3 linked regions of the Schizosaccharomyces pombe genome follow. The gene in region 2 interacts genetically with the main gene of each other region. Each region holds a gene or a part of one and is shown on either strand. Other genes may lie near its edges.

Region 1 (5,965 bases), on a different chromosome or scaffold from region 2:
GAGGAACTTGTGTCAACGAGTATAGTTGATGTTTCAAGGTGCTTCCTGTTTCATTAGGTTCAATCTCTAAGTCGTACTTCTTCCCTTGCCAACGAATTGCTATGGGAATCATCATAAATGGTTTTTGTAATTAATGAAAGAAATACTTGTTTAAGCCCAATATAATTTTTTTTGTAATTCTTTGCAAATTATACTTATTATATATGTTGCTGGTACTTGGTGAAGGCCATACAGTAACGAGCTATATACTCATTTTCGGTAACACCACGCAGCGTGCGTGGTTGTGCCGCTAAACTCGTTAAGCAATATCACACTGACACTACGTGTTAGCACAAAACCAAACCCGGAGACTGACTCCATAGATTCTAATTATGGTAAGAGAGGAATTCTTTTGTTATAAAAAGATATGATTTATTAACGAAGGCATAGTCTAATACCTTAAGACCTTATTTAAACGCAGTTCGTTCTACTCTGACTGCTTCTTTAGCATTAGAGGAATTCTCATCAGAAATTGTAGAACGCCAGAGTCAGCCGGAAGTTGAGGTTGGACGGTCTCCTGAAATTCTACTAAAGCCCCTGGTGGTCTCTCGTAATGAGCAAGAACAGTGTTTGATTGAGAGCTCTGTTAATAGGTATGTCTTAGGCATCCGATGTTTCCGATTCGAACTGGTACATTCACTGATCTTTCGATTTGGAATAACGGAGTTTTGAAAGTCATTCTCATTATTTGGATTTTTTTTACTGATGCATTTATGAAATTAGTGTTCGTTTCAGCATTCGTATTAAACAAGTCGATGAAATTGAACGAATTCTTGTGCGCAAATTTATGCAGTTTTTAATGGGTCGTGCAGAATCTTTCTTTATTTTGCGCCGCAAACCTGTTCAGGTACGTTATTACAAATTGTAATTGGCAAAAAAGTGTTCAAGGGAAGAATTTCTAGAGATTTTGCGTTAGTTTAAGTGTTCACTGTTCTGCCTCAGCCATTGTATAGTTCTTCTTTTTTTTCTTTTTCGAAGTTGCCATTGCTATTTGTAAATATCATCAAACTAACCTTTCTTTGTTATAGGGCTATGATATTTCCTTTCTTATAACTAATTACCATACTGAGGAAATGCTTAAGCACAAATTAGTTGATTTCATTATTGAGTTTATGGAGGAAGTTGACGCTGAAATTAGTGAGATGAAACTTTTCTTGAACGGAAGAGCTCGTCTTGTTGCTGAAACTTATCTGAGTTGTTTTTAGATTCATGTTTACGTTTTGGACCCTATCGATGATTTTATCAATTTATACATAAATAAATGAGCACCAAATACTTCTTCCGAATAAAATTCCTATCTCTTCTATTCTGTATTGAGTACAATAAACATATCAAGGCAGTTTTACATTCGATAATCCTTCATATCTACAATCTCGCCTTTTGACTTTTAGCATCCTTACAAGATATAACGAAAGTATACGATATGTTGTTACTTATATTAGGGAGCTGTTTCGTAGTTTATTTGATCATTTGACGACTGTAAACAAACTACAATCAACAACATTTTTGCTTTTTAATGATTCTGCCAGAATAAGTAGTTTCTATATAATTTTATGCACTTGCGCTAGTTGGTGGATAATTTTAATAAATACATGCATCCGCAGTTACGTTATGTCTGAACGAGATTTTAATACGCAATCTCCCAAATTTAAAGATGAAAACGCGAATTCTGTGATCAGCCAATCTGATTTTTTGGGGAAATCACTCAAAAATAATAACGATGATTATTCTGATTTCCGTGGTTCGTACCTTAATGATAAATCATCTTTCCAGACGCCTTTGCGCAACGGCTCTTATCAACCAAAAGGTAGTTTGGAATTTACTCCATTATTACAGTCTTCAAATAAAAACTCAGATAAATACAACGGGAGTTTGGGCGATAAAGGCTCTTTTGACCCTAATTCCTACGGGTTATCTGCTATATCTAAACAAGCTACTCAAGAAGCTTTGAGCATCAGTCAGGGAAATGACTCTTACGACGTTTCCAAGCTTACCGATCTCTCGAAAAATTCCGAAATAGATCACACAGATGGAGAATTGCCTGCAAATGCCGCCCTTACTCTTCGTGAGCAAGAAAAGGTCCTTGAGAAAGTTAGCAGAGAAAACTTTGGACTTCGAATCAAAATTGTATGTTTGGAAAAGCGACTTGAGTCTATGGCTCCCGAACAGATAAAAGAAGCTGTCAAAGACAATGTTGAGTTGCATGCCGAACGAGCAAACTTACAGCTTCAGCTTAAGAGAACTGAATCTTTACTTCAAAAGTCTGAAGACAAGAATTTCAAATTAGAAGAGAAGGTCGATTATTTATCTAAGGTTAATGATGTCGAGCAATCCCAGAATGTAAAAGTTTTTACGGAGCGCATTCGTTTTTTGGAGAATGCCTTGGAAAAAGTTCAAAGGGAAAAAGACAGTTTATCTACAGAGATGGAAGAGGATAAAAGTAACAAGGAAGTTGATTATGAATATGAAATACGACAGTTACAAAATCGGCTTGATGAATTATCGGAAGAGCTAGATGTTGCTCAAGATTTGCTTACTGAGAAAGAAGACGAAATTGCCACCCTGAAAAGACAGATTGAGGAAAAGGAGAATAGCTCTTCAGCTTTTGAAAATGAGGAGAATTCAAGCTACGTACATCTTCAAGAAGACTATGCGATTTTGCAAGCCAAATGTGATGAATTTGCGGATAGAATACAAGTGCTTACTGCCGATCTCGAAAAAGAGAAAGAAAATCAGATAATGCATGAATCCGAGGCCTCAATTGGTTTGACAGATTCCATGCAAGTACATACCCTTCAAGAACAATTACACAAAGCGAACGAAGAAATCGAATTTTTACATGATCAAATTAGTCGAATGAACGAAGAAGGTAAAAACTTTGAAGATATTATGCTTCAATTTAGAAGCTTGGAAGAAGAACGAGACGTGCTAGAATCCAAACTCCAAACTTTGGAAGATGACAATAACAGTTTACGGTTGATGACCTCCTCGTTGGGTAACCAAATTGAGTCTTTACGTACGCAAAATCGTGAAATAGATGAAGAGAAGAATCATTTACGTCTTCTTGCCTCTAAAAATTCAGATAAAGCACTTGCAGAAACGAATATCCGATTGCAAGAAGTCACTAAAGAACTGGAAACCCTTAGAATGAAGAATTCTAATGACTTAAACGAGATACACGATCTTAGGGAGGAAAATGAAGGCTTAACTTTGAAGATTGACTCTATTACCAAAGAGAAAGACCGTTTAATAAATGAGTTAGAACAACGTATCAAGTCATACGAAGTCAACGTTTCTGAATTAAACGGTACTATTGATGAATATAGAAATAAGCTTAAGGATAAAGAAGAAACTTATAATGAAGTGATGAATGCTTTTCAGTATAAAGACAACGATTTGCGGCGGTTTCATGAATCCATTAATAAATTACAAGATCGAGAGAAAGAGTTGACTTCAAATTTGGAAAAGAAGAACTTGGTCATTAGTTCATTACGAGAGACAGTTGCAATGCTCGAAAAAGAAAGAGAATCCATTAAGAAATATTTATCTGGAAATGCGAAAGACCTTGATAATACAAATTTAATGGAAATTCTGAACGATAAAATTTCAGTACTTCAGCGGCAGCTTACCGACGTAAAAGACGAATTAGATGTTAGCGAAGAAGAACGAGAAGAAGCCATAGTGGCTGGACAAAAGCTATCTGCTAGTTTTGAATTAATGAGCAACGAAAAACAGGCTTTGGAGTTAAAATACTCTTCGCTAAAAAATGAATTAATAAATGCCCAAAACCTCTTAGACCGGAGGGAGGAAGAACTATCCGAATTAAGTAAAAAACTCTTCGAAGAAAGAAAAATACGATCTGGATCAAATGATGATATTGAGAAAAATAAAGAAATAAATGTGCTCAATAGCGAGTTGGCCGACAAGCTTGCTCAAATTCGTCATTTAGAATCTGACAAAATGGAGCTAGATAAACTTGTGCATCACTTAAATAGGGGAATTGAGGAGGCGAATATAGAAGAAAATGCTGTCAAAAAGAGACTATGCCTTTTGATGGGATGTGATTATTCTTCGGTGAGTATTTTGCAGATAGTCAGTCAAATTGAACATTTTGTCAATCAACAAATCCAAACGATTCGGTCGTTGAAGCAAGAGTTACGGCATGATTTTGTACAGTTTTCTGGTAAAAAGGAACAGGAACTTAGTAGAAGCTTTGAAAAATTTGGATTGGGAACTGAGACAAAGCATGATATTCTTGCACAACGAAATCGAAACGTTAGTGAGAAGATGAATGACTTGGAAAACGCTGCCCAAAAGTTTTTTAGCTCTCCTGATCGGAAGAATGGCTATTTATATCCTTCTGAACATACTTCTAAAATCGAGTACCTTGAGAAAACGATTGAAGATCTAAAGCTTGCGCTTCAAGATGAACTAAAAAATCGAAATTTACTCATGGATGATATTTCCAGCTATAATAAGCAAACAACCAAGTTGCAGGAAAAGATTAAATGGTTAGAAAGAGAACGTTCGATACTTATCGATGAGCTTGAAAGTTATCGATCAAACCAGTTTAATTATCAGAACAACTTAGTACAAGATAAAAATGAACTGGAAGAAAGGCTAAAGGAAATCCAGAAGGAATTAGAGGTTTATAACAATCATTTTATGAAGCAAGCTGAATTGATGACTTCCAATGTTACCGACGAAAGCCAATTAATGCTTAAGACACTCAGGGAGGCTCTTCAGTCTAAGACTAACAATATCGATCATCTGTCTACTATTTTGGAACGTAATAGAAAAGAATATAAATCATTGTTAGATGACTATAATCAATTACGTGCACGCTATAAGAATTTACAATCAAATACTCCGCAATCCACACAGTCAGGGCAATACGAATCTGAAATAAAGGGACTCTCTAAGTTGACTAAATATCTTCAATCGAAATGTCGAAGAGAGCACTCTCTTCGTTTGGACCTTGCCTTTTCAAAAAAATTTATTTTAATGCAACTAACAGGATACGAAACATGCAATAAAATAAATTTACGTATGCTGCAGAAAATTGGAATTTCACCTGATCCTGATTTATCTAAGAAACACATAAAGCTGAAGAGTCTAATTATCGTTGTTTGTTCAATTGAAAGAATGAAGCGAATGAAGAATGAGTGGCTAAAACAAGCTCAATTGAAACAATCATTGCAAAGAGCTGCCGCAAAGGCAAAGACCGCAAACTACTAATCTGGGATACTTACGTTTTTTACTCTCTTTTTTTTTAACAACATTCAATTAATTCTACTACTATAATTATTTTAATTTATTGACTTTATTATCAAGCATTACTATTAATAACAGAAGAAAAAATAAATATTAATTAAGTCTATGTAGTAATGGTATTAAAGCGTAAAATCAAAACTTTGGGATTGAGATAAGAGCATCCGGGCAAATAGAATTAAGATACATATTTAATATAACCGCTGTTATTCCCCAAATTCTTGGAATCTTATCAATGTTAAATTCGACATAAAGCAAATCCGTATTACGAAATCGAGATATCTTTTGGTGCTTGGGATTTAAAAAAGAGGTGAGAGGAACGTAAAATAAATCTTTCACTTCACCTGTCCCAAGTGAAGGAAGGGAGGTTTGCACCGAAAACGCAAGGTAAGCCCGAATCTCAGTCTTTTCATCTCTGGTGAATAATGGAGGGAAAGTAGTCAAGTAAGTAAAAAAATTAGGGAGGAATCCAATTTCCTCGTAAGTTTCTCTTAATGCCGCATAATAATGAGAACCGTCTGAAGGTTCCACACGGCCACCAGGAAAGCACATTTGTCCAGCATGAGAACGCAAGTTTGGAGAACGTTGCGTGAGTAGTAAAGAAGCTCCTTGAGAAGTGTTTACTAGAGGCATCAAAACAGATGCAAATCTCGTA
Region 2 (4,664 bases):
CCCAGGAAAAATTCATCGATACAAAACTACGTCTTGCAGCTCGCACACAGTATCCAGAAAGCATTTTCAGCGTTATTAAATTCTGTGTGGTGGATTTTGATAACAATAGAGTTGTCTATTTGAATGATGAAGACATTACATATGATGTTGTTGAAAAACTAAACGGTACATTGGCTTTGGATCGTGCTAAGAAAGATAGTAAGAAGCCGAATATACTCGACCGTGCTATTCAGATGAAAAATTAGTATTTAAAGGCTTTACAATCCTTGCTGGTTGTTTGGTCCTTACCTGTTGAGCATAAGGTGCATGAAGTTTTATACAGGTTCGATATTGCGAGCATAACAAAATGATATGAAGCATAAAAAATTATTTCATCAATGTTGATATTGCATCTTTTGAGGATGCATATTCGAATTTGATACAATTAAAATCTTTCAAAAACAAATTCAAAATTAATGACATAGATCATTGAATCTAGTATGTAACGAAATGTCTAACTTCTTGATGAATATATGAAGAAAACCAATATATTTTTGCAACTGTTGAAAAATTAATACAATTAAAATTGTTTCATTAAAAGCTGATTACGACATAATTTAATCAAATAACCGTATGACTAAACGAACTTTTTATAGTTGATTCCACTGAAGTTCTTGATCGTTAATGATTTAGTTAGAATCAATAATCCTTGGTGATTGATTATGTGGAGTAAATTTGGGAAGAGACTTCTGCTCTAAAATTTTTAAGGTCTCCTCCAGAGAAGAGACCTTAGCGAGTAATGCTTCTACCCTTGAATCATTATAAACTTTTACCTCTTCCATAACTTTAGAATTTATAGCTTGTAAGCGCTTACATTCAGCTTGAAGTTTCGCAACCTCTTTGCTTTGCTCAGCAGCAAAAGTAGATGCATTTTGATATTGATTAGTAATGAAATCAGCGTCTTCTTTCTGTGTTTTTAACAGTTGAGTAAGTTTGTAATTTTTTTCGTTGGCTTCAATTAATTTGCCTTGTAGATCTTCATTCGAAAATTCTTGTACATATTTAAAGCCAAATTCTTGTTGCTTAGCTAAGTGGGTAAGCTCTTTTTTAAGGTTTGCGATTTCTTCAACCTTCTCAACTTCTAGCTTTGAAAGGTCTTCATTCTTTTTCTTCGATTTCTCCAAATCCAGCTTGAGCTCTCGAACAGTGTTTCTGTATTCTTGTAAATTATCCGTCAGCTTAGAAATTTGCTGCTCCAACTCCTCTGAGCGACTTTGTTGTACGTTTTTGGAATTAATGGCTTCGTGTAATTCATCTTCTACCATTCTTAAACGACGCTGCAGGTATTGGACAGCTGCACCTTGGAGATCATAATTATTGGAAAGTTCTACCTCATCAGCTTCCTGTTGAGAAAAAAAGTTTTTCTTTAGTGAGCTTGATGACAGTAAATCGGTGGCATTACTTGTTAAAGAGTGGAGTTTGGAAGGTGATTGCATGCTTTGCGACGAAGGAAATGTACTATCAGATGATTTGACAAAAGTATCGTTCACCTGAGAAACAGAAGGCTGAGAATCCCTTGGTTCTGCAACCGATAAGCTTGCTAAATCCATTAGAGGAGGTAGTGGCCAAGAAGAGAAGTTTTCTCCATTTTTTAACCAGGTCGCAACATTTTTAGCAATATCTCGAGTTTTTTCTGTAATAGAAGAGTGAGATTCTGAGCCTAGGATTTCCTCAAAGTTCCCAGATTTCTCAAACAAAGTGCTCAAATTTGAAGCTTCTGAATTTTCCTCGGAAGAAGAACTAAGAGTGGCAACCACACCCACAATGTTCACTAAAAATGAGGCATTGTAAGATGATTGAAAACATTTTATGGCATGTTCTATAGATCCCAAGTGAATGAGCCTAAGGACAAGGCTTTGAATAGAGGGCAAGGAACTAGTGACACTCATGTATGCTTCGATATCATAAAAAATGGTTGCACTCAAATCTGGGCAAGATTGAAGAAAATGAGAAGCGGAGGGAGCCTTTTTGGACACACAAATCCAAATTGCTGGATGTTGGCTAGTCTTTGCATCCTCTTCAGCCCATAACTCAGCATCAATGTTTTGAGATTTTAGCCATTGAGTAAGTGTGTTTGCAAGAAATTGGTTGGAGATAAATAAAAAAAATGTCTTAGAATAAGAGGGGGAAAGATTTTTGAATAATTCTTGCAAAAAAAGAAATTTTGAAGAATTTTCGGCATATGAAGAGAAATTAGAAGCATCTAAAGAAACGTGGGAATTAGTGGATTCAGCAGCGGAGGGATTTCGAACTTCAGTATCATACAGACTAGGATGCTTTGCAATGTTATGAGCAGATTGAATAAAAAGACGTATTTTTTCTTGGATTCTTGAATCGCTAGGACCAGTACAAAAATGGTCAATACAAAAGGCAAAGTATTGAACCAACCGATGCATCATTTTCCTTTGAAGCGCAGACATTGGAAGGCCAATATCTAGCACGCTGAACGAGGATTTAGAAGATTTAGTAATAGATTCTTCCGAAGAATCAAAGGCAGTGTCATTTTGCAAAGGAATAGGAAATAACTGCTGGGTAGAAGGGAATTCATCGACCTCTTGAGTTAAAAAGTCATTTTCAGAGTGATCCAAATCAGTCCGTAAAAATTTTTCTATCTCTCTTTGTTTGGATGCAGGTTCTTCATTACGCATGCAACTTAGAGGCTCTTCCAATTTTCTCTTATGGCCTGCTAATTTTAGAAGCCATACATCTTCCAACGGGCTAGGGCAATCCTCTTTGGCAATCCATCTATTACTGGAATTCACCTCAGAGTAAACCTCGTATTTCGTATCACTTTCATTGATAATAATTGAATTCGTAAAGTCGTTAATTTCGCTCATACTGCCATCCACGTTAAAATTCAACAAGAAATTGAATGTTTAAATATTGCAACACGAGACCAATTTAGCGTCCGAAAAGAAATAATTTTCGCACGTTTAGAGGAATTAGATGGTCTAAAAAGAGTCTTTTATTATCGTTTTTACAAATAACCACCCAAATGTTGTTCCCAGAATTCCGTGTTCGCCTTTAAATTTGTACATATTTTTACGAAATACACTGTGTAGCGGAAAATGTTTACAGCATTTAAAAGAGCTCTAATTACTTTTTTTCATATAACAAATCTTTATTTTAATAAAGTAACGCGTCACCTCTCTATTTAAGTCTATTATGTAAACAAATATAACTATTCACCCATAACGCGTAGTAAATGTTATTTCTTTTTCAAATTTTGTGTTAAGGGGTTAACGATTCTTTATCTTTAGTCTTATATTGAAAAAACAGCTAATTGCAATTCATTCTGGCTCTTATAAGGACTTGGAAGTGCTTTCCTTCGTGAAGTTTGGAAAAACTGGATCTTAAGACTAATTGCTGGATTAACGCACGAAAAATTCCAAAAAAGTTTAAGGTGAATAAGAACATACGCCTGAAAAATATATAAAAAGTTTCAAATATCAATCTTTTAGATCTTTTTCTATTAGCGTCTTAAAACACAAACTACAGCAAGTATGAATCAAAAGATTGTGGGACAAAGTTAGCCACCACGGAATTTACGATTCGTGTTTCTATTACAAATGTGAGAAAGAGAAGCATCAATAATTGTCAGGACCTAGTCAAACACTTTTACACATGAGTATAATCTTAATAAGTATTTTATTTTTTAAGATTATACCTACTGAACTTTTGCTATAGATTAATTCTAAAATATTATACAAACAAGGTATTATATAGGAATGCTGTGCTGCGCTATCCTGTCGATATATCACCTATACTGAAAACAATAAAAAGCTTGCAGGCGAAATAACTCGGTATTAAACTCAGTGAAAATATTTTTTAAAAAGATAATATCAAACTCTTCTTTACTTCATCTTTAGGCATTTATCATATTGCCTCAATTGTCTATTGACTTTTCGCTTGAAGACACTGCATGTCCTTAACGACTTCATCCTCTACCAACCACATTTGACGAACTTCAAATTGCCTGGTTGGAAGTTTTTAATCTGACAAAATGGTTTTTGCAGATTTAGGGCGTCGTTTGAACTCTGCGTTAGGGGACTTTTCTAAGGCCACTTCAGTGAATGAAGAGGTATGTTTTATTCTATCGAAAATTTGTTCTCATACGGAGAGTGAGCCATGTCATTTATAAAAATATTTAATACATCTTTGCTTGATTTCTTCAAAAATTTTGCATTTGCCATGTTTTACACGCTGTATATGAACATCGTTTCATGCTTTACGAAATTTGTCGATAAGAAAAATCATCTACCACAGATATGCTTTTCTAGTTGCGTAGCTGGTTTATCCAATCTCTTATATATATATATCTTGATTGCATATTGGGATTATCTTCGTTTACATCGACGTTACCTTGACATGAAAATTTAAAACCCTTTTTAATAATGCAATGTTAGATTTTGGTTTCAAGTTACTAAAAGGGTTTACTTACCAAGCAACTTTTAGGCAGCTGAAGATTTTTTTAATGACCTCTAGTTTGTTTTCCCAATGTTCTGTTTTGATTAGGATATCTATCGTTTTAATACGAACCTTTACTAATAATTTTATTTAGCTTGTCGATACTCTGCTGAAAAATATATGTACGGCACTTTTGGAAACAGATGTTAATGTGCGAT
Region 3 (6,030 bases), on a different chromosome or scaffold from region 2:
ATTAAATGAGCTATTAGTATTCAAACTATCCTTAGTTTCTTTTCGTCTCAGTAGCAAGGCCGGCCACCATGGATAACCTGGGGCTTTTACCAAAATTCGGTCACCAAAATTTAGCCTGTCATCTGCAGAAGCTTGTTCCAAATTATCCTTGCTTTCTTCAACAACACTGGGTATATTACTCTCTTTTCCTTCGGATATGCTTAATCCCCCTTGTTTAGAAGATAATCTTCGTCTTTTTGCATTAGTGCGGGCATTATTCATTATAGAAAACCACTTTCCTTATTCTAAATGAAAGGAGATTAGCCTCATGTATTACTTTTAATGTTTAACCACTCCCGTTTAATGGGCATGTGGGCAGTAGTCAGCAACCACTGTCAATCTTTCTTAAAAGTATAAGGATAAAGACAAGTCAATCAAAACTAATAACGAGATTAATTTTACTTTACTAGAAATCCTATAGTATGCTTGCTTTGGGGGTCAGCTATACTTAGTAATAATATTGTTTAAGACACCAGTAATAAAGGATGTATATAATAAATTGAAAATGACATTAATCAGCTATTCTTCTATGTAAAAATAACACCTGTCGCAAAACTGGTCTTAGCGGCTTGATAAGATCAGTCAATGACTGAAATTGGTATATTAGCTGTTCGAAGCATGGATGATATTTGAAAGAGGGTTTCAAACCATCTCTCATTCCAAGACAAAAAAGCCTGATGTGTCAATATTGCTGAAGTCTCGAGACCGACACGTACCATTTGACTTCTGCAGAGGACAAGAAACGCCTACTCGTATATCCTAATATTTCGGCCAACTTTTTCCAAATTTTTCTTCCAATAACATTCAAAAGATCTAAGGTTAATTAATGACTTTTCTAGTTAAAATAAGTACTCACCCGTTATGAACATTCTTTGGGGAATAAATATATCCTTCATCCTTTTTAAGTATGCTTGTGCTCTCATACACATAGAGTATCCTAGCCTATATATATTGCAGCAAGAATTGAATTTTGAATTGTGGGTAATGTCAATAAATACTTGTGCAAAGGATGCAAGGCTCGATCTGATTATTTGTCAGCTATTATTCAGTTACACAGTATACCTTAGAATTTTGTAAAAAAAAGATTTCCCCATATGTTTCGTCAGCTCTACAGATGTAGAGTTAAATAAGGCTTCATCAATTTTAGGACATGCTAACAATGTATCAAGAGACCTCATGTTCACAGAGAAACCGAAGAATGGCATTCTTTTCTTGCTTTCATTAAAAAAAGTATTGTTTATTATCCCATTACTATTTTCAAAGTTTATTACTGTTTTCTCCAGGCTCGTAGAAAAATTGTGTTTCTCAAATCCTTCAACGGTTAGAACTTAGGAATGACAGCAACTCACCTCTTAAAGATAAATTCAAAAATTTTTTTGCATCCTTTTTATTAACTGTTATAAAGAGGAAATCGTCGACTACTCGTAACAACACTGATCCTTTCTTTTTCGTAAACGATAGGTATTCATCAATCAAATCTTCCATATAGAAATGACACAAAAAAGATGACAGAATTGAGCCCTGAGGGATACCAACTTTTTGAAGGTATTGAGAATTTCCTATCTAGTTTCATTAGTGTTATTACAATTCAACAATTGGTATACCTTAACAATGTGTCCAGAGAGATGTTCCTTGAGCATTTTAAAAATTTCAGAAGAACTTTTGGTCCAATAATCCACAAAATCAACAAACAAAGTATCTGATGTTTTCATAGAAAGTAACTGCACGACTTTTTCAAAAGGCACCATATCAACTAAAAAAGAATTTGTTAAAAAATTCCAATGAAAAAATAAACTTACAATAGGAAAACGCCTCACTAACAAAGTTTTTTGTAGCTCGGTCACTTGTTGCATGTATGGTTGCATACTTTCGAATTACAAATTCGGGATCCTTGAGTTTCTTTTTAACAATCCGAAACATCAAATCTTGCTTTATTCGATCATAACAGGATTTTATATCTATCCGTACAAAATACTTCTTACGCCTGCAAAATTAATAATGAGGAATCGCGCATTATATAATTACCCAAACATTCGGTGCTTAAGAAGATCCTTCTTAAAAGTAAGAAGCTTCATGTAAACCTCCAAGTTAAATGGAATACCACTACTTTCTTCATTGATTAAATGTTTCAGTATCGATGCCACAGGTCGTAAAGTTTGGTTCGTACTGACTAACATTTTTTTGTTTGAACCCATCTGCTAATAATAGATTAGAAGTAAAGTACATTGATGACCAAAAATTAATACCTTTATTAAGAATCTTTTTCTTAAATTCGTAATGAGACGAAAGGTATTCTTCTTAGGTAATAGACGAATAACTGCTGGAGGCAAAGTAGTTTTCTGAGTATCCATCCTAACATTGTTCTGAAAATATTAGCTTTTTGCAAAAAATACTTTAAAATACCTCGTTTATTTTTTCAAACGCTTCCATTTTCATTGATGTAATAAAGGGTCGGCACAAGAGTTTCCAAATATCTTTTCTAAAATAAACAGTTCGATTTCGTAAATCACTTGATTCAGTGATATAAAAAAAAGATTGTAAAATAGGTATTATAAACGAATTGTATAGCCAGTAGATGAATTCCGCAAATATTTGCTTGCGTTTCTCAAAATCACTTAAGCACATTTTCGCATTTGACCTTTTTCCAAGGACTAGCCATTCAATTTCTGAAATCTGATTGTTAATTAATGGTAAAAAAATTTGGCATATTACCTTTATGTTACTCATTAAATAATGTAAACTAAAAGACTCGTATCTCGATAATTTCAAGAAAGTTTCGAGGTCTGGTAAAATCGTTAGTGGTAATAAATTTTATACAATACCTTTTAATATTATCTCAAATATCCTTTGGTTACCCCAGATTAATTTAGGAAACACTCGAACAAGAATGGATCGAAGAAACGCAAACACCTGGTTCGGCTTTAAGGAATAACTAAGGATTTTTTCATCATCGTGGGTGTCAATATATGGGCAATAATGGTTGTAAACTTTTGATAGAGAAATACGATGGAGTCGCTTTGCTGTTTGTTCAATTAAAGGGTATACCTTTAGGAGACGTTTGGGCACAACTGTACTCTGTGATACCAGTGGAATCACTTTGTGCAATTGCTTCACTTGAAATGCGTTTATAAGTCCAAATTGCCTTGGAAAAATCCATTGAAGCCACATGTGTACTGTGTTCCGATCACAAATAGAGTGTAAGTTAAAATATAGATCTAAAATTAGTTATGAAGGATAACAGTATTAGTTACCTTGCTTAAACTTCTTATAGGATGACCTGTAAAAAATGCTAAACCTACTAATTGAAATGCTATTCCAGGAAACTTCTTTGCGGGCGCTTTTATTTTGAGTAATGGATGTTTCAATGGTTCGCTTTCTTTTTTTTGACACAGTTTCCTCAAACACATTATTTTTAAAAAGTGGTATGCCAGAAATCTGAAGGTAATTGTCATTTGGAAGAGCCTCAAAAATACTTCCTTTGGATAATAAGTAATGCATGGCATCACTGCCGATACTATACTTGTCAGTCTTGTTCAAAGTGCGCAACATCTTAACCGGTATTTACATTTCTAACAAAAGTTGCCAATTTTTTGACTCAAGTATAGATATAAGGTAATTAGGAAAAGTAGAAACGAGATCATTTTGTACTCCGTTTACATGCATGGCTCGAAAATCTTCATGATTCTTTATCGGTTAAATACAATCTCTTTGAAACAGTAATTGCAGGTAAATATTTCACAATTAGAATACCTTACCATGGAAAACCCTTTCATCAGTAGATTCCTTCGACGCTCAAAACTTTCATCGAACATCTGTTTTACAACATTCGCTATTAGCTGCCCATATATTAGCTATCCCGAATAGAAAAAAATCAAAACAAAAATATATATACCTCTGACTGTGAGCATTTTGGAGAAGAAAATTGAACACCTTCATCTGGCTTACTGTCGAAGCCGACTACAGTCGAATGAAGAAAAATAGAAAAGGACGTTTGTACATCGCTTCTCAAGCGTTCGCATATATTGCTATACGAGCTTGCCGGCGACCCTCTCAAAACAAGTTGTACATAATCATTTAAGGTACATAGGTATACATATTGATTCTCTAGAAAGCGAAGAATCCTGCTTTTGGGGGTATGGTGTTCGGTCATGCAAGTTACAAGTAACCATTAAGCATAACTATATATATGCAAAGTGTCCTACTGATCATAACGTTTTAAATAAATAGTGACCGCAAATATTGATTAATATTTATAATTATAGGATTTTTTTTATATAATGATAGCTAATAAATGTTTTGCAAAGTATCTTTAAACTAATAACATTACACGAGTAGAATCACCAATCTTTCTACTACTATCAATTATAAGCGAAACTAATTTAGATTATTCATTAGGGGGAATAGTGAAAAAGGTACGATTCCAGGAGTAAAACGGAAAAAAGCCTAATACGAGATGATACATATTTGGAACAACATGAGAATAGAAAATAGAAAAATAAAACCGCGTTAAAGGAGTTGTAGTGGATAGAAATTTTTGAATATCTCAATCATGCTAGACGTGTGCAAGCATCAAAAAACTTTCGCGGATTACCACCACTAAGGACATGATTTTGCAAATAATTATCAACCTTTTCAAGGCAAACGTTGGATGATACCAAATACTCCATCATGCGACGTGACTCATCTAAAGTGTAAGGCTCCATGTTAAGAATATGCACGGACTGTAATGAATCTAATATAGTCTCATCAGAAGATTTGTAAGGATTTCTGTGAGCTACTCCAAGAGCTATATCCAATGACGGGGTAGAAACACGCGGTTGGCTAGAAGTAGCAGCTAAAACAGTACCACGATTAAAAGTAAGCGAACCCGAAATATATTTGAAAAGTAAATTAATAAAGTAAAAGTCTTTAGGGGGAAGGAAGTTGTTCTTTTTGTCCTTATACTTGGTAACGACCGATAAAATAGAAATATTATCGATCACTAATAACACCTTCATATTGGAATTTGACTTGGTATTGTTATTGAGTTCTTGTAAAAATATTTCCAGAGATTTAGGAGCGTTCGAGGAAGCAATTAGCTTATGAAGAAAGGAAAGTAAATCGGTACCAGCAGGAATGCATTCGTTCTGAAGCAACTCATGACTTTCAAAGGTCTTTAGCTTCTTAAGTTTATCAGAATTAGTTTTCATAACAGAAGTTAGAAATCCCTTAATTAAATCTGGTTGCACCCACAACTTGAGTTGCTCATCATAACCATAACTACTCGTTGAATTTACCCATCCTTCGCAGTTATGGACTGGCAAGACTATAAAATTAGGTTGTGATAAGGCGAAAAGTTCAGCTTGTATGAGAGCAATACTTCTTCCTGAACCTGGAGCACCATCAAGAAGAAAACGTCCGTCCTTCGTACCCTGGTCTTTGGAGCGCTGCAGTACATTCACTAATTCAGTTGTAATTTTCCTGTGCAAAAGGGAAGCACTGGTAAAAAAGGAGAAACTTTTTTTTTGTTTTTCTAAAGCCCCAAATCCATTAAGTTTATTAAGCAATTCCTCGGGGATTTTAAACATCTTACCTTCAGACTTGCTGGACCAAGACATATGCGGATGAATTTCAGAGGGCTTCACCTCTTCTAAAGTATTTTCTCCTTCATTTAAGAGATGATCCAATACAACGCTACTATTGGGAATAGTCGTCGATTTCTCTACTGACGAAGTTGAGGGGGGAATTTCATTAATTCTTGGCGCTTCCGAATTTTTTTGACGCTGCTGGTTAGAGCTTGAATGTATATTTCCTCCAACAGGTCTACCCGTATGCTGGTATTGTGAGGATGAATAGTATTTGTTAAATGTGCATTTTTCAAAAGTGTAGAGTCCTCCCAGTTTACTACCGCAAACAGTCAGTTTTCCACCGGACAGGATATTAGAAATTCTCTCTGTATTCTTAATAATACTACTTCTGCTTCTAAACTTCGGTAGCATTTTGTTAGAGGTA

The links.
Region 1: mutations in ccq1 (region 2) and pcp1 impair growth when combined (synthetic growth defect), as found in Schizosaccharomyces pombe (one study listed by BioGRID).
Region 3: of ccq1 (region 2) and trt1, changing one enhances a phenotype caused by changing the other (phenotypic enhancement), as found in Schizosaccharomyces pombe (2 studies listed by BioGRID, with this or other methods).

The regions. Positions count from the first base shown.
Region 1 is NC_003424.3:3,253,851-3,259,815, reverse strand, and holds pcp1 (gamma tubulin complex linker, pericentrin/kendrin Pcp1), read left to right. Parts: upstream 1-1,535; 5' UTR 1,536-1,650; coding exon 1,651-5,277; 3' UTR 5,278-5,415; downstream 5,416-5,965. Other genes in the region: ubiquitin hydrolase Ubp6, read right to left, coding at 1-115; ARP2/3 actin-organizing complex subunit Arc4, read left to right, coding at 372-374, 430-632, 763-886, 1,068-1,244; pcd1 (coenzyme A diphosphatase), read right to left, coding at 5,446-5,965. UniProt on the Schizosaccharomyces pombe protein: Spindle pole body component that binds calmodulin. Overexpression of pcp1 causes the formation of supernumerary SPB-like structures and disrupts both mitotic spindle assembly and chromosome segregation.
Region 2 is NC_003421.2:1,484,515-1,489,178, reverse strand, and holds ccq1 (shelterin complex HEAT repeat subunit Ccq1), read right to left. Parts: upstream 3,040-4,664; 5' UTR 2,877-3,039; coding exon 669-2,876; 3' UTR 501-668; downstream 1-500. Other genes in the region: ubiquitin hydrolase Ubp5, read left to right, coding at 1-245; signal recognition particle subunit Srp54, read left to right, coding at 4,043-4,120, 4,601-4,664. UniProt on the Schizosaccharomyces pombe protein: Component of the meiotic bouquet that facilitates meiotic nuclear reorganization of the telomeres to the centrosome. Links telomeres to the meiotic centrosome component pcp1. Essential for the formation of normal telomere clusters during meiotic prophase.
Region 3 is NC_003423.3:2,061,922-2,067,951, forward strand, and holds trt1 (telomerase reverse transcriptase 1 protein Trt1), read right to left. Parts: upstream 4,190-6,030; coding exon 3,932-4,189; exon of another isoform or gene 3,876-3,931; coding exon 3,795-3,875; exon of another isoform or gene 3,724-3,794; coding exon 3,605-3,723; exon of another isoform or gene 3,594-3,604; intron 3,554-3,593; coding exon 3,291-3,553; intron 3,255-3,290; coding exon 2,862-3,254; intron 2,823-2,861; coding exon 2,752-2,822; intron 2,713-2,751; coding exon 2,443-2,712; intron 2,403-2,442; coding exon 2,286-2,402; intron 2,235-2,285; coding exon 2,065-2,234; intron 2,024-2,064; coding exon 1,839-2,023; intron 1,810-1,838; exon of another isoform or gene 1,793-1,809; coding exon 1,644-1,792; exon of another isoform or gene 1,603-1,643; coding exon 1,389-1,602; exon of another isoform or gene 1,352-1,388; coding exon 1,102-1,351; exon of another isoform or gene 1,063-1,101; coding exon 896-1,062; exon of another isoform or gene 853-895; coding exon 756-852; exon of another isoform or gene 714-755; coding exon 551-713; downstream 1-550. Other genes in the region: PWWP domain protein Pdp1, read right to left, coding at 1-261; rsm23 (mitochondrial 37S ribosomal protein mS29), read right to left, coding at 4,587-6,017.